Linked DNA regions of Anolis sagrei. The protein of the gene in region 4 interacts with the protein of the main gene of each other region in a pairwise test. Links are inferred from orthologs where the notes say so. Each region holds a gene or a part of one and is shown on either strand. Other genes may lie near its edges.

Region 1 (7,747 bases), on a different chromosome or scaffold from region 4:
CATACATACATACATACATACATACATACATATGAATAGGAGTCCAGCTCGCTTCTCATACACACACACATAGGAGTGCAGCTCACTTCTCATACAGATAGAGATAGAGATAGATATATACATACATACACACATATGAATAGGAGTCCAGCTCACTTCTTATATAGACAGCTAGACAGATAGAGATATATACATACACACACACACATATGAATAGGAGTCTAGCTCGCTTCCAAGCACACCGACATTTCCTTTCTCTCTCATATTCTATTTGTTTGCCTACCAAAAATGGGGGCATTTCCCCCCTATTTCCCCCATTGAAGGACTCAACGGCTGCCACCTTTGCCATGCAATATTCCTAACGTTCCCCATATCCAGACACATATATAGGAATCAGAACCGGAGCCAATGTATTGAACAAAATCTACCAATTCCTTTCCAAGCAATACAAATGATAACAACAGCCCAGTTTGTGTCATATTGGAAGAGTAGTACTGGAATAGTAAAAAAGAAAAATGGCTGGACATTCTGTCTTTCAATCCATCCTTCGATTTTTGCACAACCTCCCCTTTTTGCTATATATTAATTTAAATTGCACTCCTTCCCATCTTTGGAAATCACTCTTTTCCATTTGTAACTCTCCTTTTCCCCCCTCTGTTCTTGTCTCTATGCGTTACGTTCGAGGGTATCCATATATGCATATGTAGTGCAAGCAGACACACACCTATGTGTGGACCTATATATGTGTATACCTCTCTCTCTACATGTATATGGGGTATCTATATATGCATGTGTGTGCGTGCAGACCAATACCTATATGTCGACCTATATATGCATAGCCCCCCTCTCTATATATGGGGGTATCTATATATAGATATGTGTGTGTGTGCAGACCAACATCTATATGTGGATCTGTGTGTGTGTGTGTATGGGTGTATCTATATGTACATGTGTATGTGCAGACCGATACCTATATGTGGATCTGTGTGTGTTTGTCTGTATCTATACGTACACATGTATGTGCAGACCAACACCTATATATGGATCTATATATGCGTATACCCCTCTCGCTATATATGGGCGTTTCTATATATACATATGTATGTGTGCAGACCAACACCTATATGTGGACCTATGTATGTATATACCCCCCTCTCTCTATATGGGGGTATCTATATATACATGTGTGTGTGTGTGTGCAAACCAACAACTATATGTGGATCTATATATGAGTATACTCCCCTTCTCTCTCTATATATGGGGGTATCTATATATACATCTATGTGTGCAGACCAACACCGATATGTGGATCTATATATGCATATACCTCTCTCTCTCTCTCTCTATATATATATATATATGCATATATTACACATAAAATATATATGTGTATAAATATATATGTGCATAAGTATACATATTATATATGTGATACATATACATATAGGTGTGTGCATTTATGTATATTATGTGTGTGAAGGTGCATAAGTATGACCCAAAATACATTGGGGCAAATGAGAAATTGTAGCTAAATGTACCTTTAGTTGCAAAATACTCACATATAGATAGATAGCTAGAAATAGATAGATATAATATACGAGTTTGCTAATTTTTCCCATTTATGGGGACTTTTAGGCCACCCTACACATATGTGTATATCTATGTACACTAAATATGTGTGAGCATAGATAATTATGCATATATGTATATATAATATGTATGTATATATATTAATAAGCTATTAATACCCCGGAAATCTATATATTAATACCCCAGAAATCTATACATTAATACCCTAGAAATCTATACATTAATACCCCAGGAATCAATAGATATTAATAAACCCGAAATTAATATATATTAGTATATACATAAATTAGTATACATATTAGTACCCCAGAAATCAATATATATGAATAGCCCTGAAATTAAAATATATTTACCCCAGATATCAATATATATATTAATACCCCAGAAATCAATATATATTAATACCTCAGAAATCAATATATATTAATACCCCAGAAATTAATATATATGAATAGCCCTGAAATCAATATATATTAATACCCCAGAAATAAATATATATTAATACCCCAGAAATTAATCTATATTAATACCCCAGAAATCAATACATATTAATACACCAGAAATTAATATATACGAATAGCCCTGAAAGTAATATATATTAATACCTCAAAAATCAATATATATGAATAGTTCTAAAATTAATACATATTTACCCCAGATATCAATATATATATTAATACCCCAGAAATTAATCTATATTAATACCTCAGAAATTAATATATATTAATACACCTGAAATTAATATATATTAATATACCAGAAATTAATATATATCAATACCCCAGAAATTATTATATATTAATACCCCAGAAATCAATATATATGAATAGCCCTGAAATTAATCTATATTTACCCCAGATATCAATATATATTAATACCTCAAAATCAATATATATGAATAGTTCTGAGATTAATATATATTTACCCCAGAAATTAATATATATTAATACCCCAGAAATTATTATATATTTATCCCTGAAATCAATATATATTAATATCCCCAAAATTAATATATATTAATACATCAGAAATCAATATATATGAGTAGCCCTGAAATTAATATATATAAATACACCAGAAATCAATATATATTAATACACCAGAAATTTATATATATTAATACACCAGAAATTTATATATATTAATACCCCGGCATCAATATATATGAATAAATATTAATACATATTATTCCAGATATCAATATATATTAATACCCCAGAAATATTGATTTTTGAGGTAAATATATATTAATTTATGGGATATTAATACAGATTTACCTCAAAAATCAATATATATGAATAGCCCTGAGATTAATCTATCTTTACCTCAAAAACCTCTATGAATAGCCCTGAAATGAATAGATATATAGGTATCAATAGCCCAGAAACCAATAGATATCGATTCCCCAATAGAGATCAATGGGGGCGAAAAAGGAGGCGGGCGGGCGCCAAACACTCACGTTCTTCATGGCAGCCGCCATGTCGTCGTAGCGCTCAGCCTGCTCGGCCAGCCGGGCTTTCTGCACCAGCTGCTCACGGTCCACCATCTTCCTGGATTGCGGTTGTTTTTAAAATAGATAGAAATAGTAAAATTTAAATATATCTATTCAAAAGACAAGAAGATGGGGAAATTTCTCGCCCGACCGAGTCGCCTCGGAGAGAGAAACACAAAACCAACCGGGCTGAAGGAGAGAGAGAGAGAGGAGAAAAAGAGCAAGCGAGCGATCTGATTGGCTGGCCGGGCTTCAGAGAGGGAAAGAGAGGGAGAGAGACGGAGAGCGCGCACAAGGCTCCTTCCCCGCTCGCGCCGCGACTGCTCTGACGGCAGAGGCGACGCAGCGAAGGCGGCGGCGCGCCTCTGCGCATGCGCGGCATTCCTGCCAAACAGAAGCCCCGCCCCTTTCTCTCCCTCCTTTTTCCCCCGCCCCTCTGCGCTTGCGCGGCCCTCCTGCCAAACAGAAGCCCCGCCTCTTTCTCTCCGGAGAGCCACGCCCTCCTTTTCCTCTTCTCTAAAACGCTCCCGCCCTCTCCCCGCGCGCAAAGCACGACGGGAGATAGAGTTCCCTTGCCGAATGATAGTAACGCGGTCAGAGCTGAAGCCGCGGCGGAGGGGACTACATTTCCCAGCAAGCCACGCGCGCTGCTTTTTGTCCTCAAGCCACACACTCATTCAGGGCTTGGACTGGATGGCTCTTAGGAGTCCCTTTCCATTATATTGTATTATAATACATAATATTATAATATTTTAATACTATATTATAATATATAATATAGTAAATTATTAGTATTATATTATTTTTAATATATTATAGTTATATTATAATACATAATATTCTAATCTAATATTTAATACTATATTATAATATATTATATTATAATTAGTATCATATATAGAATATTATGATTATATTATAATACATATATTATAATTAGTATTATTTTATATATTACATTAGAATTATAATGTAATATATTATATATTATAATATATTACATTAGAATTATAATATTATTTTATAATATATTCTATTATAATTATATTATAATATAGTATAATATATAATATATTACATTTTAATTAGTATAATAATGTTATATATACTATTATAATTGGTATTATATTATATAGTATATTATAATTATATTATAATACATAATATTATAACATAATATTAACATTCCAAATTATAATATATTCTGTTATAATTAGTATTATATTATAATATATTACATTATATTTATGTTATATTATAACATATTATATCTTCTATATAATATATTTTATATTGAATGTTTTATATTGTGTATAAACTGTTTTAAATTGTAAGTCGCTCGGAGCACCTTGGTAGAGAGCGACTAATTAAGAAATAAAGTGATGATGATGATATAATTATTAGTATTATAATATTATGTTATAATATATTATATTATAATACTATATTATATTATAATTAGTATTATAATTTTGTAAGATAATATATAATAAACTTATTTATTATTTATTTATTTCGGTTACTTCTACCCCGCCCTTCTCACCCCGGAGGAGACTCAGGGTGGCTTACAAAGGCACAATTCGATGCCGACATCACATAACAGTAGTATAAAACAATCTAGCAGCAATTAACAGTTAAGAAACAGTTCTGCATATAACAATAAAACTAATAAGCCGATAAAACCACTAAAAACCAATTGCACCTCATTAACGGTCAGCGTTCGCCATCTCATAGTCCAGTTTCCAATTCCACTTTGTCAGTCCTGTCAGTCCTAATTGTCTGATTGTCCTTATCTAGTTGTCAGATTGCCCAAAGGCCTGGTCCCATAACCACGTCTTTACTTTCCTCCTGAAGGAGAGGAGGGAAGTTGATGACCTAATTTCCCCCAGGAGTGAGATCCACAGGTGAGGGGCCACCACTGAGAAGGCCCTGCTCCTCGTCTCCACCAACCTCACTTGTGATAGAGGTGGAGTTGAGAGCAGGGCCTAGCCAGATGACCTCAAACTCCGGGGTGGGACGTAGAGGGAGATGCGTTCGGACAGGTACGCTGGACCGGAACCGTATAGGGTTTTGTAGGTCAAAACCAGCACCTTGAATTGTGCTCGGAACTGGACCGACAGCCAGTGGAGCTGACACAACAGGGGGGTGGGGTGCTCCCTGTATGATGCTCTGGTGAGTAATCTGGCTGCCGCTCGCTGGACCAGTTGAAGTTTCCGAACAGTCTTCAAGGGCAACCCCCACGTAGAGTGTGTTGCAGTAGTCTATTCAGGATTATATTACATTATAATTAGTATTATAATGTTATATTATACGAACAGTCTTCAAGGGCAACCCCCACGTAGAGTGTGTTGCAGTAGTCTATTCAGGATTATATTACATTATAATTAGTATTATAATGTTATATTATAATATATTATATATTCGATTATAATTAGTATTATAATATTATAATACTAATATTCTAGGGGTCCCTTCCAAATCATTATGCGTATTGATAGATAAGGCACCATTCAATCCCTCCTGTCAGATGGCCATCCAGCCTCAGTTAAAAACACAAACCACAGAATTTCAGAGGTTGAAGGGATCCCAAAGGCCATCCAGTCCAACCCCATTCCTGCCATGTAAGAAAAACACCATGTAAGAAAAACACAAGAAAAACACCATCCGTCCTGACAGATGGTCATCCAGCCCTCTGATAATAATAATAATCTATACACCTAATGAAAATATCCTAGGGGTCCCTCTAAAGGCCATCCAGTCCAGTCCCCTTCTGCCAGGCAGGAAGGCACCATCAGATCCCTCCCAACAGATAGCCACCCAAGCTTGTGCTTCAAAGCCTCTAGAGGAGGAGACACAGTCCTTAATGTGGAGGTGGAATTCAAGCATAGAGCAAATGGGCTATAGGGCCATGGTCTAGAGGCATTCTCTCCTGACGTTTCGCCTGCATCTATGGCAAGCATCCTCAGAGGTAGTGAGCAAATGGCTTTTCCAGGTCTTTTTGTTTACGACCGCGCCTTTGGCCTCGGTGGATGAGCATTTAGTTATTAATCATTCATTAATAGTGTATTTATTATTAATTAACCCAGGACGATGGGCGTCAAAGGGTCCAGGTGGCAGACCCCACTATTATTTCCTCTCCTCGGCTGTGATGTCTTCTTGCCGCCCAAACATCTGCCAAATTGCCCCATTGTTTGGCTTCTTCCCTTTGTCTTTGCTCCATCCAATCCCAATGGGTTTCAAAGGGATGGCCCAGATCTTAAATTTGGACGTTCAAAGGTCCAGAAGGGATCCCCAAAGGCCATTTAGTACAACCCTTTCCAATCTGCGGTCATTTTGGATGTGCAAAGGCGTAGGATTGGAAGGGATCCCCAAAGGCCATCTAGTCCAACCCTTTTCTGCCATGCAGGAGGACACAATCAAAGCCCTCTTGACAGATGGTCCATCCAAACCTCTGCTTAAAACCTCAAAGAAGAAGATGGTCCAATGTGATCTCATCGTCCAAAGATAAATAATAAATAATAAATAAATAATAAATAAATAATAAATAAATAATAAATAAATAATAAATAAATAATAAATAAATAATAAATAAATAAATATGAATATAAATAAATAAATATAAATAAATAAATTGTCGAAGGCTTTCATGGCCGGAATCACTGGGTTGTTGTAGGTTTTTCCGGGCTATATGGCCATGTTCTAGAGGCATTTTCTCCTGACGTTTCGCCTGCATCTATGGCAAGCATCCTCAGAGGTAGTGAGGTCTGTTGGAACGAGGAAAAAGGGGTTTATATATCTGTGGAATGATGTCCAGGGTGGGACAAAGGACACTTGTCTGTTGGAACTAGGTGGGAATGTTTCAATGGACTACCTTGATTAGCATTTGATGGCCTGGCAGTGCCTGGAGCAATCTTTTGGTGAGAGGTGATTCGATGTCCTTGTTGGTTTGTTTCCTCTCTGTTGTCGTGCTGTTCTAATTTTAGAGTGTTTTTTTTTTTAAATACTGGTAGCCAGTATTATTAATGAATAAATAATAATAATAAATAAATAAATAAATAAATAATACTGGTAGCCAGATTTTGTTCATTTTCATGGTTTCCTCCTTTCTATTATTTATTATTAAATAATAAATAATAAATAAATAATATATATAAATAAATAATAAAGATGTTGAAGAGCCCCGAAAGGCCTAGGACAAAGCTGGGGCTGGATGGCCATCTGTCGGGAGTGATTAGATGGTGCCTTATTTGGCCACTGTGGGCTCATGCTCAACCCATGGTTTAGTTAACCCTCCGACTATAATTTCTCTCTCCAGGAGGAAGGAAAAAGGAGCAGCCATTGGACGGAAAGAACCCATAATAAATAAATAATAATTAATTAATTAATAAAAATAATAAATAATAATAAACAATAAATAAATAAAACATAATAATAATAATAATAATAAATAAGAAAGAAAGAAAGAAAGAAAGAAAGAAAGAAAGAAAGATGTTGAAGAGCCTCAAAAGGCCTTGGACAAAGCTGGGGCTGGATGGTCATCTGTCGGGAGTGATTAGTTGGTGCCTTCTTTGGCTACTGTGGGCTCATGCTCAACCCATGGTTTAGTTAACACTCCCGACTATCCCTTCTCTCTCCAGGAGGAAGGAAAGAGGAGCAGCCATTGGA
Region 2 (8,310 bases), on a different chromosome or scaffold from region 4:
GGTGATTCTACACACTGTAGAACGAATGCAGCATGACACCCCTGGAACTGCCATGGCTCAGAGCTAAGGGATCCAGAGATTTGTAGTTTGGTGAGGCACCAGCACTCTTTGGCAGAGAAAGTGAAGAACCTTGAAAACTACAAGATGATTCCACAGCATTGAGCCATGGCAGTTACAGTGGCAAAACCGCATTTGTTATAGATGTACACCCACTCACTTCACTCCCCTTGGCTTTTTGTTTGTTCCAAATCGAAGCACGCAAGGCTTACAACACAATTTAGGGCATTTTGCAGGTGCAAGACTCGCTTTGGCTTATCCCCAATGTCCCGAAAAGGGGAAAAGTCGCCTCTTTTACTACTAACGCCTGTCTCCTACCAGGATTTTGGACATTGTCTTTTGCACCTTTTAGTTTCTGAATAAGTGCCTCTTGAAAATTGCAAATACCCGGGGAAGAATGTGCACTTTGAATAGCAAGATTAAAAAAAATGCCATTTAATCTCAATGCAGACATTGCCTTCTTCCATCTTTTGGCAAAAAGGAAGCTGAAAAGACTTGCCTCGAAAGCAAGGGAATGGCTAATTTGCAACTTGCTTATTTTAACAAAAAAGGCTTCTATTAAATTCTCATATATGCAGTAAATCTGCATAAATATAGATAAGTGTGTGTATATGTGTGTGAAAGGGAGAGAAATTATTTATAGAGAAAGGGGGATAGAGAAAAATGTGGTCTATATATATCTACACATATGGAGAAGATATGTATATACATGTATGTAAATATATGTTCATATATATGTGTGTGAGGATATATATCTCCTCTCTCTTTCTTTCTCTCGCTCTCTCTATATATAAAAAGGGCAAGCCACAATTACATAACCGGTTTCCCCATTTTCTTGTGCTAGGAATTAAGTCATCGCCACCACCTGACACGCCTGCAGCCAATGGGCTTTGGAGGAGCAGGCGCAGCCCCCTCCCTTCTCCCCAGGACTGGTCCCAAACAGGATTGAACCGCTTTGAACAAAGGGTGGAAACTTCAGAAAAACAACCTTAGACTCTCCTAGACTTCCACATTGGGTGCCATAGCAATCTACAGATTAAACAGTCAGAAGCATAGGGAACCCCTTTGGGGAGGTTTGTTCCATTTTTGACTCCCTTGGCTAATATCAGGCATCCTTTGCAGAGCTCTAGGGGGGAGCTTTCCATTGACTGCCCCAACTTAGAAAGGATGCTGTTAATAATGCAATTATTGATCATATTCAATGGGGGGGGGGGTCCCCCTCCTTCACTTCAAAACCCAATTATCCATCCGCATTTGTAGGAAAAATATTCCGAAACAACGTTTTCCCCACAACTTTGTTGAGTTTAAAAGGGAATGCAAGAGGTACACGTGGGGTGCTGAAAGCAAGTGTCAAAACGCACCACGGGGAACCTATTTCTCGCCCAGCAACCCTCTCCAAAGGACATCACCCACAGAAGCCCCATAAGTGATCTTAATAAGGCACCTTGATATAGAGGGAGGGGAGGGGGTCACCATATAGGTACCTTGATATAGGGAGAAATAGTTTAAAAGCAAAGCATTAAGAGAAATTCCTCACTAACTGGATGCACAGGTGAAAGTATCCCTTTTGGAAAGACAGTGGGATTTTTTTTTTTTTTTAAAAAGTCTTCCCTTTGCAGATGGTAATCAGGTGGTCTTTACAATCTATTTACGTCTTCTAGGGTTTTTTTTTTAGCATGCATCCTAAACTCATTTATTGGGGGAATTGGTATTATTGTATTCAATGGGTCCTATCTCAGATGCAAAATCAAGGCGTAATAAGAGAAAATCCTCACCAACTGAGTGTCCCTATTGGAAAATATAAAAAAGTCTTTTGCAGATGGGAACAAGATGGTCTTTTAAGTGTTGTAGGTTTAAATGGCTACATCCCAATCTCAAGTATTGAGGTGAATGGGTGCCAATGCACTCAAATGGATGCTATTTTCCAGTAACCATGTTTGGTTTTTTCAATACCTCCACATCCCATGGCTATAAAGCTAAACTTGCTTGCTGGGGGAAAGAATGGGTGCCATTGCACTCAATAAGTCGCATTTTACAATAACCATATTTTGTTTTTCAATGCCTCTATATCCCAAGGCTTTAATGCTAAACTCACTTGCTGGGGAAAGAATGGGTGCCATTGCACTCAAATGGGTCCTATTTTCCAGGAATCATATTTGGTTTTTAAATGCCTCTACATCCCAAAGCTATAATGCTAAACTCACTCACTGGGTGCCATTGCTCTCAATTGGGTCCTTTTTACAGGAACCATGTTTGGTTTTTAAATATCTCCAAGGCTATAATGCTAAAGTCACTGACTGGGGGGAAGAATGGGTGCCATTGCTCTCAATTGGGTCCTATTTCTGAGTAACCCATCTTTTGGGTGAAAGTGTCCCTTTTTAGGAGAGACTGGAAAATATGAAGTCTTTCTTCCCTTTGCAGATGGTAATAATCACCACCCATTTAGGTCCAACTCTATTTAAATAGCTATGCACCCCAAGGTTATAATACTGAAGTCACTTAAATGGAGAGGAATGGTGTCAATGCACTCACTGGATGCAAATGGAGGCTAAGTCTTCCTGGGAATATAAAATACTTCTTTTTGCAGTGGATGATGGTCTTTGCAATCCATTTAGGTTGATTCGGTTTAAATAGCTATGCACCCCAAGGCTGCAACGCCAAACTCTTACTGGTCCTATTGCCCAGTAACCATCTTTGAAAACCAACCCAGAAAGCAACATGAAACAGATGGGGGAAATAAATAAATAAAATAATAATAATCAAAGAGAGGAATGAATGGGGCAAAGCCAGGCTCACCTCTTTCGTGCCCGATCAAGATATCCTTGTGGTTGAAATACTCGACTTCTTCCGTGTAGTTTTGCGTGTAGGCAGTGTTGGATCCCGCATTTCTCGACTCGGTCCAGCGGACTTTGGCGTGTCCCCTGGCGTGGATCTTTAAGGATTTCACCCGGATTTCCCCCGTGACTTCCAAATTCACCCTTCCTGAGACTGTGTCCCCGCTGGAATAGACGGGGACGTTGCTGTCATTCAGACAGTCGAAGCTGATGGTCAAACTCTTCACCTTCCCCAGCACCATGTTGAAAGTATTATTATTATTTTTTTGTTGATAGCAAAGTCTATAAAAATATATTCTTAGGAGAAAAAAAGGAAGGGAGAGTCAAGATCTCATATAGAAAAAAAATATGAGACTTTCCCCTTGACGCTGATCTGTATTGCTCTGCGAAAAACAGGCAGGACCAGCGTGGTTCTTCTCTAGGAGCGCTTCATTGGGGCTCCTGCAAAGGGACGCTGCAGCTCGGTTGGTCTCCTTACAAAGACGAAAGCCCAGCCGCTGCCACCTCACTTTAAGGAGAGCTTTGTGAAAAACAACCCCACTGCGCAGGCGCGGGCCTGCCTTGGCTCTCCCCCGCCTCCTCTCATGCTGAAGGTGTGTTGCAGAAGCAAGAGAGAGCCCGACTCGGCTGTTGCTGGAGAGCAACAAGACAAGCTGCTTCCTTGCTTGCTACCCCAACTTCTAGGATTTTTTTTTCCTTTTCCTCTTTAGGAGCAAGCCCCTTTTGCATTCCTTTTTGAATTAAAACTTGTCCAGTACAAGTTTTAATTCTGACTTGGAATTAAAGTCTGACTTGGTCACGGTAGTCCACACTCTGGTTACATCCCCGTATAGACTACTGCAACACTCTCTACATGGGGTTGCCTTTGAAGACTGTTCGGAATCTTCAAATGGTCCAATGGGCAGGTTGTCTTCCTTGGAGACTGGGATGCGGAACAATGGCTTCAAACTACAAGAAAGGAGATTCCACCTGAACATGAGGAAGAACTTCCTGACTGTGTGAGCCGTTCAGCAGTGGAACTCTCTGCCCCGGAGTGTGGTGGAGGCTCCTTCTTTGGAAGCTTTCAAACAGAGGCTGAATGGCCATCTGTCAGGGGTGCTTTGAATGCAATATTCCTGCTTCTTAGCAGGTGGTTGGACTGGATGGCCCATGAGGTCTCTTCCAACTATGATTCTAGGAGCGGCGCTCAGGGAGCACACAACTCCTCTGTTGCACCAGCTCCACTGGCTGCCAGTCGGCTACTGAGCACAATTCAAAGTGCTGACTTTAGCCTATAAAGCCCTAAACTAGGGGTTCTCAACCTTGGGTTCCCAGAAGTTTTTGGCCTTCAACTCCCAGAAAGCCTAACAGCTGATAAACTGGCTGGGATTTCTGGGAATTGTAGGCCAAAACATCTGGGGACCCCAGGTTGAGAACCACTGCCCTAAACGATTCTGGCTCAGCTTATCTGTCCAAACGTATCTCTCCTTATGAAACATCTAGGAATTTAAGATCTTCTGGGGAGGCCCTGCTCTCAGTCTCGCCTTCTTCACAGATTCGGTTGGCGGGAACAAGAGACAAGGCCTTTTCAGCAGTGGCCCCTTGTCTGTGGAACGCCCTCACTAGGGACATTAGATCGCCCCCCCCCCCTCTCTTAACATTTCGCAAAAAATCAAAACCTGGCTTTTTTCATCAGGCTTTCCCAAATGCTGTGTAGCAGACAAACCCTGATCTCGGAATGACTGGACAACCCGATTAGGTAATGATTTTGGTAATGAGATGCAGAGGATCTATGTTTTTATGGGGTTTATTATTTACTGAATGTTATTGATGTTAAATGTTTTAATTGTTTTTATGTTATTGTGGGCATCGAATGGTGCCGTTTTTAAACTGCCCTGAGTTGCCCTCAGGCTGAGAATGGCGGTATATAAATATAGTAAATAAATAAATAATAAATAACATCCTCAGCAGAAAGAGCACTGCTTGCAAAAGGCATACTCTCCTCAGCTCTCATGGCTCAAGTGCAGTATGTGTGAAAAAGATCTTGGAGTCCTCATAGACAACAAGTTAAACGTGAGCCAACAATGTGAGGCAGCAGCAAAAAAATCCAATGGGATTTTGGCCTGCATCAACAGGAATATAGTGTCTAGATCCAAGGACGTCATGTTATCCCTCTACTCTGCCTTGATCAGACCACACGTGGACCATTGTGTCCAATTCTGGACACCAGAATTGAAGAGAGATATCGACAAGCTGGAATGTGTCCAGAGGAGGGCGACTAAAATGATCAAGGGTCTGGAGAACAAGCCCTATGAGGAGCGGCTTAAGGGGCTGGGCATGTTTAGCCTGAAGAAGAGAAGGCTGAGAGGACACATGATAGCCGTGTATAAATATGTAAGAGAAAGCCATGGGGAGGAGGGAGCGAACTTGATTTCTGCTGCCCTGGAGACTAGGATGTGGAACAATGGCTTCAAACTACAAAAAAGGAGATTCCATCTGAACATTAGGATGAACTTCCTGTGTGTGAGAGCTGTTCAGCAGTGGAACTCTCTGCCCCAGAGTATGGTAGAGGCTCCTTCTTTGGAAGTTTTTAAAGATTCTATGAAAGGCATACCTCTAGCCCAGTGTTTCTCAACCTAGGGGTCATGACCCCTGTGGGGGGGGGGGAGAGATTGCGAAGGGGGTTTCAGAGGAGTCACTAAAGATAATCAGAAAACATATATTTCTGATGGTCTTAGGAACCCTTTTGGGAGAGAAGGCTGGAGATTTCTCCACCTGTCCTTATCTTCCTTTTTGGTGTTGGTGAACTACAACTCCCAGAATTCAAAAACAGCCTCTCCCCCATCCCCACAGTATTCAATGTTAGCATGTAGGTAGTGTGCCAAGTTTGGTGCAGATACATTGTGGCAGCGTTCAGAGTGCTCTTTGATTGTAGGTGAACTATAAATTCCAGCAACTACAATTCCCAAATGTCAAGGTCTATTTTCCCCAAATTCCGCCAGTGTTGACATTTGGGCATATTGAATATTTGTGCCAAGTTTGGTCCATATCCATCATTGTTTAGAGTTCACAGTGCTCTCTGGATGTAGGTGAACTACAACTCCAAAACTCAAGGACAATGCGCCACCAAACCCTTCCAGTATTTTCTGTTGATCATGGGAGTTTTGTTTGCCAAGATTGGTTCAGTTCCATCATTGGTGGAGTTCAGAATGCTCTTTGATTGTAGGTTAATTATAAGTCCCAGCAACTACAACTCCCAAATGACAAAATCAATCCCTGCACAACTCCAGTTGGGCATTTGTGCAAAATTTGGTCCAGTGAATGAAAAATCATCCTGTATATCAGATATTTATATTACAATTATATTATATTACCAAACAGTAGCAAAATTACAGTTATGAAGTAGCAACAAAAATAATTTTATGGTTGGGGATTACCACAACTTGAGGAACTGTACTAAGGGGTCGCACCATTAGGAAGGTTGAGAACTACTGCTTTAGCCCAAACAAAGCTGAAATGGAGTTTGAAAGGAAGGCTTGTTAAGGGCTGTCCTTGTCTTTAAAAAAATATTTTTATTAGAGTTTCAGAAATCTCATTTAAACCCAACAAATTAAATGCACACACATACACACATACCAAAGACGCATCAACACTGTAGAATTAATCCACTTTGACCCCGTCCAAACTGCCATGGCTCAATGCTATGAAATTCTAGGACTTGTAGATTAGTGACACACTGGGCAGAGAAGGTTCAAGCCCTTGTAAAACTACAACTCTTAGGTGTCCTTAGCATTGAGCAGTCAAACTACATTAATTTTACAATGTAGATGCAACTCTTACTGCTATAGCTCAGTGATATGGAATCTGGGTTTTGTAGATTGATGGTAAAAATGGTTTTAAACAGTGTATTTTAATATTGAGACAAATGTTTTTAATGTTTATGTATGCATATAATGAATTCTTGTCCTGGCATTGAATGCTTGCTGTATATATGCTGTGCTCCGCTCTGAATCCCCTTCGGGGTGAGAAGGGTGGAATATAATTTTTTAAAATAAATAAATAAAGTAAAGGTTTCCCCTGACATTAAGTCCAGTCGTGTCCAACTCTGGGGGTTGGTGTTCATCTCCATTTCTGTGTCGAAGAGCTGGCGTTGTCCATAGACACCTCCAATGTTATGTGGCCGGTATGACTGCATGGAGCACCGTTACTTTCCTGCTGGAGTGGTACGTATTGATCTACTCACATTTGGATGTTTTCAAATCGCTAGGTTGGCAGAAGCTGAGGCTGACAGCGGGAGCTCACCCCGCTCCCCGTATTTGAACCTGCGACCTTTCTATTAGCAATTTCAGCAGCGCTGTGCTTTAACTCACTGTAGCACTGTAGACTAAATACCTCTTTGGCAGAGGAGGCTCAAGGCCTTGTAAAACTACAACTTCCATACTTCCATAACATTGAGCCATGGCAGTTAAAGTGGGGTCAAACTGCATTCATTCTACATCATAAGATAAATAGAAGAGTCAAAATAACCCTGTAGCATTCCCAACCAATTATCACAGAATCATAGAGTTGGAAGAGACCTCGTGGGCCATCCAGTCCAACCCCCTACCAAGAAGCAGGAAAATTTCATTCAAAGCACCCCAGACAGATGGCCATCCAGCCTCTTCTTAAAAGCACCCAAAGAAGGAGCCTCCACCACAGTCCAAAGCAGAGAGTTCCACTGCTGAACAGTTTGGACAGTTAGGAAGTTCTTCCTAATGTTCAGGTGGAATCTCTTTTCCCTGCCCCCAACTAAAACTAACAAATAAACTCCATGAAAGTTACTAACTATCCTTGATTTTATTAGTATTATGAGCTTCCAGACCTATTATTGGATGTGCCAAAAGGAGGAAGGTTCTTCAGACCATCAGAACAGTTTTATCACATTTGCTGTAAAATAATCCAAACCTTACAGGATTTGTGTTTTCAATATTGCGAGTTATCCTCTGCATTGATGGTTGGTGCCCCAGAGGGTAGAGTTGCTTATTGTAAGTGAAGCCAATGGGACGTCAAGTCACAATAGTTAGAGCTAATGATAGAGTAAAGTGTCACAATAGGTGGAGATAATGATAGGTGGAGCTAAGTGTCACAATGGATAAAGATGAGAATCACAGTTGGTTGTTGTATGCTTTCAAGTCATTTCTGACTGATAGAGACTCCAATATGGACCTAATATTGGGCGCGGGGGGTTCTTAGCAGAACTGGTTCAGAGGGGGTTCCTTCCCTTCCTCTGAGGCTCAAGGTCATCTAGTGGGTTTTTATGGTCAAGTGGGGATTCGAATCCTGGTCCAACACTCAAACCACTACACCACACAAGCTCTCAAAATGGGTCACAATAAAGCCAATTGTTATATTGTGCCAAAATCCATAGGCAGAGTAGTCCTGACTGATGTGTCACATGTCA
Region 3 (8,242 bases), on a different chromosome or scaffold from region 4:
GTTTCTTTTTTTTTTGCTTTTATAATTACTGTATTTAATATTACTGTATTTACTCTATTCTAATGTACCACTGAATCTAATGTGCCCCTCAATTTTCAAACTCTGAAACCAAAAAAAAGAAAAAGGATTTGCTGGTAAATATAATGTGCAGTAGCAAAAATGCACTCTTTGTAATCTGGTCAAAATTACATGCTTAGATTTGATTTTTTAAAAACAAAAGTGTTAGAACACCAAGGCTTTTAGCAATTGAAAGGAAAACCTTAGGATGCATCTGTGCTGTAAAATGAATCCACTTTAACAGCCTTGGCTCAATGTTATGAAATCATGTATCTTTACAAGGTCTTGAGCTTTCTTTACCAAAGAATGCTAGTGGCTTGCCAAACTACAAATTCCAGGACTGCATAGCATTAAGCCTGGCAATCAAATTTGAGGTGACATCCCTCAAATAAGAGCTCCAGGTGCAACTTCTGAAACAGCTTCCTCTTTTGCTTTGGATCAGCACCAAGATTACCAAATTACGCAAATCCAATGCACAACCTAGTGCAGCCAAAAAAGGTAAGCATTACATTCAAGTAAATATTATAATATCCAGTCACTACAGAGTTTGTGGCATGGTATAGTATGGTATGGAGTTTATTATCAGTTAGGCCTATTTTTAATAGCACCTCTCAAACAACCAGAAACTAAATTTATCTGGCATCCAAAATAATAAAATTTTACAATTTTAAACCAAGGTGCCATTCTATCCCCAATGTTCTTTAATGTTTACTATGAAGCCACTGGGAGAGATCATCCATAAACATGGGCAAGGTGATCTCTCTGAGTGGCTTTATAGTAAATATTAAAGAACATTGGGGATAGAATGGCACCTTGGTTAAAAATTGTAAAATATGCTGATGACACCAAAATATATTTCTCCGCGCCTTCAAAAACAGCTTCAGCTATGGATACTGTGTCTCCTCTGAATGAATGCCTGGAGCAGGTAATGGGCTGGATGAGGAAGAACAAATTGAAACTGAATTCAGACAAAAAAGAATTGGTTGCCAACAAGGGTCCTAATCTGGGGATGGAGATATGTCAATCAGTTCTGGATGGGTTTACTGTCTTCACAGCTTGGGAGTACTCCTGAATCTGTCTCTCCAAATGTCAGCCCAGGTAGATGCAATGGTCAGGAGTGCTTACTATCACCTTTGGCTGATACACTAGCTGTGCTCCTTCCTAGATTTGGAGGACCTGAAGATGGTAGTGCACGTGGCTAGTAATCTCAAAGTTGGAAATTACTAGTCATAGATTTATTCCTGCAATCTTACCCAGTCAGTCTTTAAACACATATACACACAGAAAACACATATACACAGACTGGGCCACAGCAACATGTGGCAGGGGACGGCTAGTCTATATAAATAAAAATGTAATGTTCGTTTGTGAGATTAACAGAACTCAAAAACCACTGGACGAATTGACACCAAATTTGGACACAAGACACCTAACAACCCAATGTATGTTCTTCACTTAAAAAATTGATTTTGTCATTTGGGAGTTGTAGTTGCTGGGATTCATAATTCACCTACAATCAAAGAGCATACTGAACCCCACCAACAATGGAATTGAACCAAACTTGGCACACAGTTCTCCCATGACCAACAGAAAATACTGGAAGGGTTTGGTGGGTAGTGTCCTTTGGTTTTGGAGATCACTGTGGACTCAAACAACGATGGATCTGGACCAAACTCTACACGAATACTCAATATGTCCAAATGTGAACACTGCTGGAGTTTGGGGAAAATAGAATCTTGACATTTGGAACTTGTAGTTGCTGGGATTTATAGTTCACCTACAATCACGGAGCATTCTGAACCCCACCAATGATAGAATTGGGCCAAACTTCCCACACAGAACCCCCCCCCCCCCCGTGGGTCACAGCAACGCGGGGCAGGGGACGGCTAGTAATAAATAAAAGATTGGGAAGCCAAGTCCCATAAGGAATGGCTGAAGGAGCCAGGTGTATTTGGCCTGGTGATGCAAAGTTTAAGAAGGCATGACATGACAGCCATATTTAATTGTTTGAAACAATGTCACATTGAGGACGGAACAATCTTGATTTCTGCTTCTCTGGAGACAAAGACACGGAGCAATGGATTCAAATGACAGGAAAATGCAAGATACTCCACTTTGGCAGGAAAAACAAAATGTAAAGATACTGAATGGGGGACACCTGGCTCGAGAGCAGTACGTGTGAAAAAGATCTTGGAGTCCTCGTGGACAACAAGTTAAACATGAGCCAACAATGTGATGTGGCGGCAAAAAAAGCCAATGGGATTTTGGCCTGCATCCGTAGAAGCATAGTATCTAGATCCAGGGAAGTAATGCTACCCCTTTTCTGCCTTGGTTAGATGACACCTGGAATATTGTGTCCAATTCTGGGCACCACAATTGAAGAGAGATGTTGACAAGCTGGAATGTATCCAGAGGAGGGCAACTAAAATGATCAAGGGTCTGTAAAACAAGCCTTATGAGGAGCAGCTTAAGGAGCTGGGCATGTTTAGCCTGAAGAAGAGAAGGCTGAGAGGGGATATGATAGCCATGTATAAATATGTGAGAGGAAGTCACAGGGAGGAGGGAGCAAGCTTGTTTTCTGCTGCCCTGGAGACTAGGATGCGGAACAATGGCTTCAAACTACAAGAGAGGAGATTCCATCTGAACATGAGAAAGAACTTCCTGACTGTGAGAGCCGTTCAGCAGTGGAACTCCCTGCCCCGGAGTGTGGTGGAGGCTCCTTCTTTGGAGGTTTTTAAACAGAGGCTAGATGGCCATCTATCAGGGGTGCTTTGAATGCAATATCCCTGCTTCTTGACAGGGGGTGGACTGGATGGCCCATGAGGTCTCTTCCAATTCTATGATTCTATGATTTCTGATGGGAAGAGCTCTTCCACATTATAATATACGTACTGCAGCAGCGTGTGCTGGAGTCCCCTGTATTTCCTTCCACGTCGCGTCTTCCAGCGACAATCTCCTCCTTCCCCTCCATGCTAAGCTTTTCTCCTCCTTTCGCCCGGCCATAATCCTCTCACAACTTACATAACGCCCCACACACAACAGATTAAGCACAGGCCCCTTTCGAGACTTCTCCCTCGGCCTCGTCAGGCGGCTCCTACCTGGCTTCCCCCTCCAAGCCAAGGTTAACCGCCTCCTTTGGAAGCAAACCCTCTGCTTTAGACAACAGGCCTGGTCCCTCACCTTCCGTCTCTCTCGGAAAGGGGGGCGGGGAATTGTTACCACAAACGTGACAGGAGAAAAAGAACAGGCCGCACTAACCCCTCACAACCTCGCCAAACACACTCCAAGTGCCAAGAAACAGCCGTCAACCGACTAGGCCTCTCACCTCCTCAGACGCCGAAGGCTTCAACAACTGCGAACGCCAGCCGCCGCCATTACCGCCCTGGAACCCCGCCCCCTCCGAGACGCCAGCGTCACTTCCGGCCCGCGGCGCTCGGGCTTTCCCCCGTCCTCTGCGCGTGACGTCAGCGAATCGACGTCGTGCGTGTTTGCGCGTCATTCCTGCGTCCGGCCCTCTCATAACATCGCCCCCTCCCCTCGGAAAAGAGTGGTATTCCTCGTTACTCTTACACGTAATTAATCCAACCTGCACCTTCAAACTGCATTATATGGTCCACGTAGATCAGGTATGGGGAAACTTGGGCCCTCCAGGTGTTTGGGACTCCAACTCCCACCATTCCTAACAGCCTCAGGCCCCTTTCTTTTCCCCCTCAGCGGCTTAAGCGGCTGAGGGGGAAAAGGAAGGGGGCTGAGGCTGTTAGGAATGCTGGGAGTTGGAGTCCCAAACTCCTGGAGGACTCAAGTTTCCCCATACCTGATATAGATTCATATAATGCAGCTCAATGCAGTTAAAAGGCATGTGACAATATAATGCAGTTTCAAACGGTGTAAATGGGATTATTGGTGTTTACAATACTGCAAGGGAAATATTTATTATTTTATTTATTTATTATTTACGATATTTATTGGGAAGTCGGATCTGGCCACGGTGGCCCACACTCTTGTTACATCCTGGATAGATTACTGCAATGCACTCTACGTGGGGTTGCCTTTGAAGACTGTTCGGAAATTTCAATTAGTCCAGCGGGAGGCAGCCAGACTGCTCACCGGAGCGTCATACAAGGAGCATACCACCCCCCTGTTATGTCAGCTCCACTGGCTGCCGATCCAGTTCCGAGCATAATTCAAAGTGCTGGTTTTGGCCTACAAAACCCTATACGGTTCCGGCCCAGCGTATCTGTCCGAACGCATCTCCCTCTACGTCCCACCTCGGAGTCTGAGATCCTCTGGGGAGGCCCTGCTCTCGGCCCTGCCTCTGTCACAAGTGAGATTGGCGGGGACGAGGAGCAGGGCCTTCTCAGTAGTGGCTCCTCACCTATGGAATTCACTCCCTGGGGAAATTAGATCAGCAACATCCCTCCTTTCCTTCAGAAAGAAATTAAAAACATGGATGTGGGACCAGGCGTTTGGGCAATCTGGCAGATGAACAAAGGACTGTGACGACGGATAGGAATGGACAATTGTGGAACTAAATATGGACTCTGAGCTGGCGAACACTGTGTCTGAGATTGGCTATCGATTGTGAGATATATTGTTGTTTTAATTGTTGACCATTTAATTGCTGGTTTTATATGTTATTGTATTTATGTAGGCACCAAGATGCGCCTTTTTGTAAGCCGCCCTGAGTCCCCCCTCGGGGGTTGAGAAGGGCGGGGTAGAAGTATACGAAATAAATTAAATAAATAAACCGGCCTTTCTCAGCCATACGGCGACTCAAGGCGGGTTACAGATTAGCACAATTCGATGCCAGGCATTCATAAAAGTGCAATTAAAAACAACCAACATTACAATATAAGTCATATATAAACACCGTTAAAACATATAATCATTGGTGTCATCCTGCTAAAAATCCAGTAAGTATAAGTATTAAAAAAACCTCTAAAATTACAACAGCAAAACAACAGAGAGGAAACAATCTGTGACATCTAATCACCTCTCAACAAAAGATTGCCCCAGGCACTGCCAGGCCATCAAATGCTAATCAAGGTGGTCAGTTGAAACATTCACACCTAGCTCCATTAGACAAGAGTCCTTTGTCCCACTCTGGTCATTCCACAGATATATAAACCCTTTTTTCCTAGTTCCAACAGATCTCACTACCTCTGAGGATGCTTGCCATAGATGCAGGCAAAACGTCAGGAGAGAATGCCTGTAGAACATGGCCATATAGCCTGAAAAAAGCCTTCGACAATACGTTATCCAGTAACATCGTCGGGTCATTCCATGTTCATCATTCATAGTTCCGTGTTATCTATTCTGCATTCTCAAAAGCTTGCTCAAAAGCCAGGTTTTTTTTTTCAGAAAGTCAGGAGGGAGGGGGCCGATCTAATATCCCTGGGAAGGGAGTTCCATAGCCAGGGGGGCCACTGTCCTTCATCTCTGCCAATCACACTTGTGAGGCAGGCGGGATCAAGAGCAGGGCCTCCCCAGACAATCCTAGATGGTTCATAGGACATACGTTCGGATAGGTAAGCTGGGCCGGAATCCTTTAGGGATGGTTTAATACTGGGTTGAGGCCAATGTAGATCATATGTGCCATATGTATCTCATCAGAATATGTAAAAAATGTTTTGGAATATGGTTTAGAATAATTTGTATATTTTTAACTTAAAATAGCTAGGAATGCTTTTTTATATAACTCTAAGGAAACTTTTTCTTCAAAATGATTCCGCCTCAACTGGTCCAATTCATCTTCTTACATCATTCCTCATTCTTTAGCTTTGGTGGGGTTGCCTTATTCTCTTGGGCTCCATCTATGCTGACCATTTAATGCAGTTCGCAGCTAGCTTCAGATTGCGGCGGCCGAACAAAAAACTCCCACAAAAGCACATGAAGGGAAGCCCTTAATGTGCATCACGATTCTGTACTTTGTGTAATCACCATCTGGGCCTCAAGCTGATTTGAGGATTTCCTATGTAATCATCCACACAGCATGAGCACTTTCTTCAATACTGGTTTGAAAATGCATTAAATTATAAATGTACATGTGACCATGGTTGAGTACAGGCAGTCCCCAACTTACAAATATCCTGCTTATAAATGATTCATAGTTAAAAACAGGAGCAAGGCAACAGGAAGAGAGGGAAAATTCACTCATAAAAGAGTAATCTCTTGAAGGAGATTCCCCCTTAACATTAAGAAGAACTTCCTAACTGTGAGAGCTGTTCAGCAGTGGAACTCTGTGCCCCAGAGTGTGGTGGAGGCTCCTTCTTTGGAGGCTTTTAAACAGAAGCTGGATAGCCATGTGTTGGGGGTGCTTTGACAATTTTCCTGCTTCTTTAAGCAAAAATTAGAGTAAAGCTAAAATAACACCAAACTAAGTATCATGCTGAAGTACAACCAGAAGAACATCCCTATAGAATTTAAAGATTAAAAATTTTTAGGTGAAATAATCGATGCACACTTTTAAGCCCAATTGACCAGGAACCAGTAGCACGCTGGACTGAAATGAGGGACATTTCCATGGAGAATGCAAAAAGACACTTTCTGCAGCCAAAAAGACCCCAGAGTCAATGGATGACATGAAACTCTTCATGTTTATGTTGCTAGTATTGTTATTTTTGCCTATGTTGCGATTCTGTATGTGCTGGTGTTGATACTTGGAACCAGCCTGACTCCGTTCGAGGTGATAGAGTGGTATATAAATAAAGTTTATTATTATTTATTATTATTATTATTATTATTATTATTATTATTGGCAGGGGTTGGACTGGATGGCCCATGAGGTCTCTTCCAACTCTATTATTCTATAATCATGTGGAAAAGGTGTCTCTACTGAAGCTTTAGAGCCAGTCCTGTTTCCTCAACAAACCATTTTTAAAAAAAATCCAATTATCACAGGGACAGAAAGTGAGGTGAAATCTTCTGAACAGTGGCACAAGCAGCAAAACAAACAGCATGGGTGTGTTAGCTCTTCCCTATGCTATCCAAAGTGTGTGTGTGTGTGTATACACACAGTAGAGTCTCACTTATCCAACCTTCACTTATCCAATGTTCTGTATTATCCAATTTAGTCCAGGGTCTGAGAAAGAAAGAACTCTTGTCTGTTTTGGTGCTAAATTCATAAATACAGTAATTACTACATAACGTTACAGTGTATTGAACTCCTTTTTCTCTCCTTTACCTTCAAGTGGTTCCCTTCATGAAGCATGGAATGAAGATTTGACGTAGGTTCTCCTTTGACTTTCCTTCCCCCATTATATTTTTTGGAACGGAGGAAACTTTCCCTACATCCTCAGGCAAAAGAAAAGAAAGGGGTTAAATAAAAAGGATGAAACCTCAGGAATGCCCTGACCGGATATAGAGCTGAGAATTTCCACTAGAAGTTGTGCAACTCAGAAACATAACATAATAGCCCAGGGTTTACCAGAAGAATTGAACCAGGTAGAAGAGCTCTACATTTTTTTCTTTCAACAGTTACAAAAGACAATATATTTTTATTTTACTCTCACTATCTGCATCATGTAATATAGTTCTCCAATGTATATAAAGCAGTAGAAAGAAATCTACACAGTTGTATAACAGAGCTTGGGTTGATGGAAGCATAAAGCATAATAATGATACTGTGTAATGGTACCAATGCAAAGCAGTACAGATCAATGCTTCATTATGGATGTAGTCTGGCTTTTGCGCCAGTCTTCCCAAAAAGCCTCGGGCTACTTTGAAATGTGAAAGGTATATATCAGTCATCACTTAAACAGGAGTTCATTTTTGGTGTTGCTATACAGTGTGCTTTATACGTCAGTTTTTCATCTAAAATAATTGAGCAGAATATTAATCATGACATCACTTAGTATCTGCCTTTTTCAGTCATGAACGATGCTCCTGTTATAGACTCAATTAGACAATGTTTGATCCCTAGGTAGTAAAACTAATTGTGGTACACATACTTTTATAAAGATGGAAGGCATCCCTTAGGAACATATTAGAAATAACGTATTGCTAGTATCACCTACACAGAAGAAAATCCTATGTGTATTTTGGAGATCTTTGCCAACACTTAATTAGAATTGATGAACTAAATCTATTCAAAGGTTGCCAGGTTATTTAAATGAGTATTCGTGAGACTGAAGAAATGTGTGACTTTTCCCATAAGCACATAGGTGAGAGCAGACACATTAATTGT
Region 4 (7,965 bases):
TTATTTATGGAAAGTATAGGATGAATAGCACTTCATTTTTCACAGCAAGAGAGAAATAGATACTTGTAGGGTTTGTTTTGCTCCAGGTGCTAAAACTACAAGACTGGTTTTGGATAATAGGTGCCTTAACCTAAGGAGGTGGAGCTGGTGCTTTACTAGAAAAAGTCTAGTGTCTAGTACTAGCCCTACTACTAAACTCACTGGTGCAGATCCTGAAGTATAACATGGATTACAATGTCACATCTCTTAAGCAAAGGTGGAAAAATTGTGAAAATAAATCTTGAGGATTAAAAAAATAACCAATTGGAGTCTGAGAAATTAGCGACTGCTTTAAGCAACCTAATACCTGACAATATCATTTTATGCCTGTTTACCCAAAAGTCACACTGAATTTAATGGATTTACTGCCTTGTAAGTCTGTTTAAGATCACTTGTTCATGTTACCACAATATTGATAATTATGAAACTATGAGAAAGCGAATAATAATTAAAATTAAAAGAACCATTGGATCTTTAAAATGTCAGTATCACATATGACACAGCACAACGTCCATGCATCTCATGCAAATCCTTGTTTTTTAAAATGGGATAAATACTTATGTATGAGCTGTCATGTTGTTATGTAACTCAATGCCACAAACAAGTATTACCTGCTTGTTACTAGGTTTTTGTTGTTCCCAGCCTACAATCCCAGAATTTATTTACTATTTTGTACCAAACTCTTACAACTGACTTTGAAGGAGCTGGGGGTGGTGACGGCCGACAGGGAGCTCTGGCGTGGGCTGGTCCATGAGGTCACGAAGAGTCGGAGACGACTGAACGAATGAACAACAACCAAACTCTTAAGGGTAATAAATAATTGTTTCTCAGCACATGATGGGAAGCAAAGACAACTAGTATTTTCCTTTTTGCTTCTTCTCTCTGGTCACCTTCCACTTCTTTTAACATTGGTTAAAAAACAATCCTCCTTTCTTTAAAAATAATCCTGTGGAGCCATCATTTCTGAGTTGCTATGAGTTTTCCAGGCTATATGTCCATGCTCCAGAAGCACTCTCTCCTGATGTTTCACCCGCATCTATGGCAGACATCCTCAGACGTCTCACAACCTCTGAGGATGCCTGCCACAGATAAGGGTGAAATGTTAGGAGAGAATGCTTCTGGAACAAGGTTATACAGCCTGGAAGAAGCACAACACAGTGATTCCAGCCATGAAAGCCTTGGACAACACATCATAATATCCATGGCCAAATCTTGGGTTGGGGATAATTGCCCTGTGAACTGCTCTGAGTGCTCTTCAGGCTTGGGAAGGGTGGTATACAAACACCGTAAATAAATAAATAATCAGCCACATTTCCTTTATTCCTGATTAGGGGCTTCAAGTGATTAGAAAACTTGCATGGATTGGTACAAATAAAGAAGAGGAAAGGCATGCTTTCAGATTTTGGAATTTCTATATTTCCAAATACATAGGTAACCTTGGAGCTGGCATCCAAGTATAAACAGGAAATCGTATGTCTTAATCATACCTTATAATAACCTGATGCACAAAAGTATTTTTAAAATATGTTGCATGAAACAAAGTTTGGCAAAGTGAACCATCAGAAAGCAGAGGTGTGACTCTCTCAAACATTCAGGTGGGCTATTTCAGATTTTGGAGTAGTATTTTGAAGAAGGGGGGCTAAGGGCCCTTCCACACTGGCAGTTCAACACTTAACTTCATCAAACAAGAGAATGAATCTACTTTAAATCTGGTGTCTGTGTCCTGCAGAATTCTGGGGTTTGTAGTTTAGGGAGGAGACTTAAACAGCCTCACTAAACTGCAAACCCCAGAATTCTGCAGGAGGCAGAAACCAGATTTAAAGTGGATTCATTCTCTGTGATGAGTGTGGATTTACTGCCTTAATATTCTGGGTTATAGTACTGTGTGGAAGGGCCCTCAATCAGCCTTTGTTTTAACTTTCCTGGTGATAGCAGAAACACAACTGGGTGCACTTTCCTCTCCTCTGAGTCCATCTTCTACACCAGGGGTCCCCAAACTAAGGCCCGGGGCGGATATGGCCCTCCAAGGTCATTTACCCGGCCCTCACTCAGAGTCACACAACAATAATTTGAAAGCACACAACAACAACAACAACAACAACAACAACAACAACAACAATCCTATCTCATCAGCCAAAAGCAGGCCCACACTTCCCATTGAAATACTAATAGGTTGATATTTGTCTAAATTGTTATTCGTAACAATTATTGTATTCTTTTAAAGTGTTTTTGCACTACAAATAAGGTATGTGCAATGTGCATTGGAATTCATTCTTTTTTTTTTCCAAATTGAAATCCTGCCCACCAACAGTTTGAGGGACTGTGACCTGGCCCTCTGTTTTAAAAAGTTTGAGGACCCCTGTTCTACGCTGTAGAATTTAAGCAGTTTGACACTACTTTAAGTGCCATGGCTCAGTGCTACCGAATTGGGAGTCTGACAGGATCTCTGCCAAAGAAGGCTGATGCCTTACCAAACGACAACTCCCAGCATTCCATAGCCAGGGAAGTTGAAGCGGTATCAAACTGCATTCATTCTACAGTATCTACAGGAGAATAAGATGCACCCTTTTCTTGTTTACCACCATCCATCCCGAAGCGAGTCCTTACTGGACCCCCAAACAATCCCAAAGTCCAAAGAGCAGCAGAAGGAAGGATGGAAAGAAGGAAGGAAAGGAAGGAAGGATGGGAGGAAGGGAAGAAAGAAAGGAAAGAAAGAAAGGAAGGAAAGGAAGGAAGGAAGGAAGGAAGGAAAGGAAGGAAGTAAAGAAATGAAGGAAGGAAAGAAAGATAGAAAAGAAAGGAAGGAAAGGAAGGAAGGAAAAAAGAAAGGAAAGAAGAAAGGAAGGAAGGAAGGAAAGGAAGGAAGGAAGAGCGGGAGAGAGGGATGAAAGAAAGGAGAGGGACTGAGAGAGAGAGAGAGAACCAGGCGAAGTACTTACTCGTTGTCAGCTTGGAGAGGGCTGGAGAAATCCTCCTCCTCCTCCTCCTCCTCCTCAATCCTTCTGGATGCAAACCCTCTCCGGCGCTAGGCTGCCATGGCTTAATCCGCTTTCTCGGGTGGGAAGGAAGGAAGGAAGGTAGGTTCCCGTGTGGTTGCCCTGCCTCTCTCCTGTTCCTCTAGAAGCCGGACTGTGAGCCAGGCGGGCCCCCTCCCTCACCCCAGTGCAGGAAAAAAAGGGCTGGGGATTTCCAGAGCCACGGAGAGGCAAGCGAGGGACTTTCCGGCGGGAGGCATGTGACACTCGCGGTGGCCTTTGCCGGCGCTGCTGCTGCTGCTGCTGCTGGCGCTGTGGCCGGCCTCTAGGTGGCGCTGCTGTGCGAGAAGCCAGGCCCGCGGAAGCCTCCGCCGCTGCCGCCGGCACGTGACTCCGACTGCCTCGCATCATCATCATCATCATCAACATCACTGACGTCATCATCGCTCCTCCTTGGCTTGGCAGCCTGGGTTTCTCCCCTGGGGTATCCCCACCGTGATTCTTCCCTGCTTCAGCTGTGGCTCTTGCCCGAGTTTTTTTTCAAGTGCATCTACAGCACTGGTTCTCGACCTTCCTATTATCTTCCTAACCCCTTCATACACTTCCTCATGTTGTGGTGACCCCCCAACCATAACATTATTTTTGTTGCTACTTCATAATCGTAATATTGCTACTGTTTTGGATCGTAATGTCAGTATCTGATATGCAGGGTGTATTTTCATTCACTGGACCAAGTTTGGCACAAATGCGCGATATGCCCAAATGTGAACACTGTTGGAGTTTGGGGAAAATAGACCTTGATATTTGGGAGTTGTAGTTACTGGGATTTATAGTTCACCTGCAATCAGAGAGCATTCTGAACTCCACCAACGATGGAACTGAACCAAACTTGACACACAGAACTCCCTTGAGCAGCAGAAAATACTGGAAGGGTTTGGTGGGCATTGACCTTGAGTTTTAGAATTGTAATTCACCTACATCCAGGTAGAGCACTGTGGACTCAATCCATGATACATCTGGACCAGATTTGGCATAAATACTCAATATGCCCAAATGTAAACACTGTTGGAGTTTGGGGAAAATAGGCAAAGGTTTTCCCTGATACGAAGTCCAGTCGTGTCCAACTCCAGAGGTTGATGCTCATTTCTAAGCCAAAGAGCCAGCATTATCCGTAGGCGCCTCCAAGGTCATGTAGCCAGGATGACTACATGGAGCATTATTACCTTCCTGCTGGAGCAGTACCTATTGATCTCACATTTGCATGTTTTCAAATTGCTAGGTTGGCAGAAGCTGGGGCTAGCAGCGGGAGCTCACATCACTGCCCGGATTAGAACTTGCAACCTTTCGATCAGCAAGTTCAGCAGCTCAGCGGCTTAACTCACTGTGCCACCTTGATATTTGGGAGATGTTGTTACTGGAATTTAGTTCACCTACAATCAAAGAACATTCTGAACCCCACCAATGATAGAATTGGGTCAAACTTCCCACACAGAACCCAAAAGAAAATACTGTGTTTTCTGATGGTGTTTGACGCCCCCCCCCCCCCCCCGGAGTCCCGACCCCCAAGTTGAGAAACACTGATCTACAGTGTAGAAGGAATGCAGCTTAAGACTGCTTGAAGTTGGGAGCCCCCTCAATATATACAATACAATACAATACAATACTATACTATATAGAAATAATAACATTGTAATGTAATAATACTAAAATATATAATATTAATAATGTTGTAATATATATACTACAACTTGTGATATAGTGCAATATATTATATAATACCAATAGTATTATATACTGGTATAATATTAGATATAGTGGTATAGTAGTAGTATAAACTGGTAGAATATTAGATATAGTGGTATAGTAATATAGTACAATATAATAATATATAATAATATAATACAAGTATATTATATATTACATGTAATATTACTAATAATATTGCAGTATAGTGGTATAGTACAATATAGTAATGTATAATACTACTATTGTGCTATGCTAATAATATAATATATTGTATAGTCCTATAATATTGATAATAATATAAAGGAATACAATATAATACCAATAATACAATATAATAGTATAGAATAATATTGTAATATAGTAATACTAATATATTAAATATACGAATATGTTAAATATAATGACTACTGATAATATATAATGATATGCTGTTTTATTGTATATTTTAAGTTGTAATGTTTTGGATTATGGATCGCTTTGAGTCTCCATATAGAGAAAAAACATGGGGTATAAACAATAAAATAATAAAATAATAAAATAGGGAGTTTGGTGAAGCACCACTACTCTTTGGCCGAGAAGGCTGAAGGCCTTGTATAATACAGTTCCCATCATTCCATAGCATTGAGCCAGGGCAGTTAAGGTCGTGTCAAGCTGTAGTCATTCTATTGTGTAAATAAAACATGTGCAAACTTCAGCCCGCCAGGTGTTTTGGACTTTAACTCCTACAATTCCTAACAGTCATATATGTGATCCAGAAAGAACACAGAAGGAAATGGATTGGCAGAGTCCTTATTTTTCAAGAATGCCATGGGTCCCAAAAGGAGAACAAAATAGTACTTCCCAATTTATGTAAGCATCTGATGGGAAATGATCAGAGAGCTGTGATGCAAGAAACATCATTATCAGATTTTTCTTTCTTTCTTCATATTGTTGCTATTAGTCAAGTGGGAAAGGAATCCTGAATTGCAATGGAAAATTATTTGGCAACAACAAATGTTATTTGTTACAGATCGTGGTGGGGTGCTGTACAACATAATTAAAATACACAAATAAAACTAAGGACTATACAAAGCATATATATATATATAACAAAGATTAAACCACCAATACTATAAAACATAAATGTAAAGACTATTCCTGTGGCTTACTAGCAGAAGGAAAATGTAAAATAAGCATAAAAGGTAAAGATAAAGGTAGTCCCCTGACATTAAGTCCAGTCATGTCTGACTCTGGGGTGTGGTGCTCATCTCCATTTCTAAGCCGAAGAGCCAGCGTTGTCCGTAGACACCTCCAAGGTCATGTGGCTGGCATGACTGCATGGAGCGCCGTACATAGGTACACCAAATAATTTTGCTTTATTTGTTTTAAGGAGAATAATGTGATTTTTTGATGTCAAGTTTGTGTTACACAACTTAGCTCTTAAATATTTAATGTATAATATACTGCTAGGACTTGCCGTGTACACAATGCAGCATTTTATTTAATGCCTGTGATGGAATCCCTCTCACAATCGTATTTATTTATTTATTTTATTTTATTTTATTTTATTTTATTTGTTTGTTTCATTTATATACCACTTTTCTCAATCTGTAGGGGGACTCAAAGTGGTTCACAACAAAGCAAATGGCAAAATTCAAAACCTCACAATATAAAATGTATTACACTATTAAAAACAAATAACAATAGATTAAAATCAGTAATCTATAAAACTTTGGATGTAAACAAACATAAAACATAAGACATTCAACATTACACCAGTCCCAAGATATCTTGGACTACATCATCTCATTCTCTGAATGCTTGTTTGAAAAACTTGTTTGAGTAGTTTCCTTAACATCAGGAGGGAGGGACCAATCTAATCTCATGGGGGAGAGAGTTCCACAGCCGAAAGGCCACTACTGAGAAGGCCCTGTCTCTCGTCCCCACCAGTCGCACCTGCGAGGGCTGCGGGACCGATCTTAATGCTCTACCTGGCTCATAAAGAGAGATACATTTGGATAACATATAGTTAAAACGTTAACAAAGAAAAAATGAAGGGTCAAGATAAGGGGCTAAATAAGTAATTATATTATGGTGGGACAAGATATTGCACCCACAGCAAATCTTTGCTCTTGGGATATTATGGACTGTATTAACTTTGTTAAGGATATTCCATTAAATTAATGCTTGAATGTTATGCCCATGTTTTAAAAGTATATAGTGTGAATGCAAACTATGCAGTAGCTACAGAAATGCACAATTGAGATTTCTGTCAATTTTAAATATTTCAGGCTATGAAAAATGAAGTCAGTTATCAACTGATGAGAGGTGAGACATTATTGTTAAACTGTAGTGGTCGAGATAGGAGTGAAATCACCATAGATAACACTTGATAGTACTATGCAGAAAGAGGCATGGTAAACTGCTTCTAAAGTTACTATGAAAACCCAGTGATGAAATAATGCAAAATTAAACAAGAAATAATGTCAGAAATTGATAGGATATGGTTGGAAGGCACTCAACAAACTACTGAGACAGAACAGAAGACAGCTGTGAGTAGTGCTATGGTGAATTAGGCAGCTGAACTCAAGCCAAAAGGACATTCAGCTGTTGGCCTCCTCATAGGGGAAAGGAAAATCCAAAACAGTGTATTATACCAAAAAGTATTATGGGAACATGGGATGAGAGAAGAATGGATTAGGATAAGAAACAGACTCCCATGAAGGCCATTAAATGATGCAAAACTACTTCTGGTGGTTGCCCATGGGGCTCTGGTTTTAAAGTGTCTGGAAATTGGCATTCTTGGAGTCAGGTGCTGCCCAAATCCAGACATCTCAATTCACTTGGAAGTGGGAAAAGGTGGGAACTTTAACGTGTGATGGCAACAGCTGGATATCTCTGTTGTATTGTTGTATGACAGCAAATTGAATAATGATTGCTTTTGAAGCAGTACATAATTGAGACAATAATTCTCTGTACACTGGAATATACAAAATGCAAAAATAAAAGACAGTTCCGAGCTTCTGCTCCCCCTTCCCATGGGATGAGGTCCTTAGATGCAATTGGAATACTCATTGGAATCAGAGAAAGCAATTAAAATATTCTGCTGCCATTTAGAGAACTTGAGTAGAAATACTTTCAGACCTAGGACTCAGGGTCAACTATTGATATAGATGAAAAGAAAAGGGGAGGGAGAGAATGTGTGGCACTAAGCTAATAATTCTTA

Evidence for each region.
Region 1: the proteins of TNFAIP3 (region 4) and YWHAG interact in binary tests that used the Homo sapiens proteins (3 or more experiments, as listed by UniProt). The link is inferred for Anolis sagrei from reciprocal best matches to the Homo sapiens genes TNFAIP3 and YWHAG.
Region 2: the proteins of TNFAIP3 (region 4) and ARRDC3 interact in binary tests that used the Homo sapiens proteins (3 or more experiments, as listed by UniProt). The two-hybrid records come from large-scale screens. The link is inferred for Anolis sagrei from reciprocal best matches to the Homo sapiens genes TNFAIP3 and ARRDC3.
Region 3: the proteins of TNFAIP3 (region 4) and TAX1BP1 interact in binary tests that used the Homo sapiens proteins (3 or more experiments, as listed by UniProt). The link is inferred for Anolis sagrei from reciprocal best matches to the Homo sapiens genes TNFAIP3 and TAX1BP1.

What each region holds. Positions count from the first base shown.
Region 1 is NC_090031.1:32,897,865-32,905,611, reverse strand, and holds the start of YWHAG (14-3-3 protein gamma), read right to left. Parts: upstream 3,434-7,747; 5' UTR 3,137-3,433; coding exon 3,050-3,136; intron 1-3,049. UniProt on the Homo sapiens protein: Adapter protein implicated in the regulation of a large spectrum of both general and specialized signaling pathways. Binds to a large number of partners, usually by recognition of a phosphoserine or phosphothreonine motif.
Region 2 is NC_090022.1:255,829,451-255,837,760, reverse strand, and holds the start of ARRDC3 (arrestin domain-containing protein 3), read right to left. Parts: upstream 3,405-8,310; 5' UTR 3,134-3,404; coding exon 2,854-3,133; intron 1-2,853. UniProt on the Homo sapiens protein: Adapter protein that plays a role in regulating cell-surface expression of adrenergic receptors and probably also other G protein-coupled receptors.
Region 3 is NC_090026.1:90,671,121-90,679,362, forward strand, and holds the start of TAX1BP1 (tax1-binding protein 1), read right to left. Parts: upstream 3,490-8,242; 5' UTR 3,383-3,489; intron 1-3,382.
Region 4 is NC_090021.1:79,201,657-79,209,621, forward strand, and holds the start of TNFAIP3 (tumor necrosis factor alpha-induced protein 3), read right to left. Parts: upstream 3,078-7,965; 5' UTR 2,979-3,077; intron 1-2,978. UniProt on the Homo sapiens protein: Ubiquitin-editing enzyme that contains both ubiquitin ligase and deubiquitinase activities.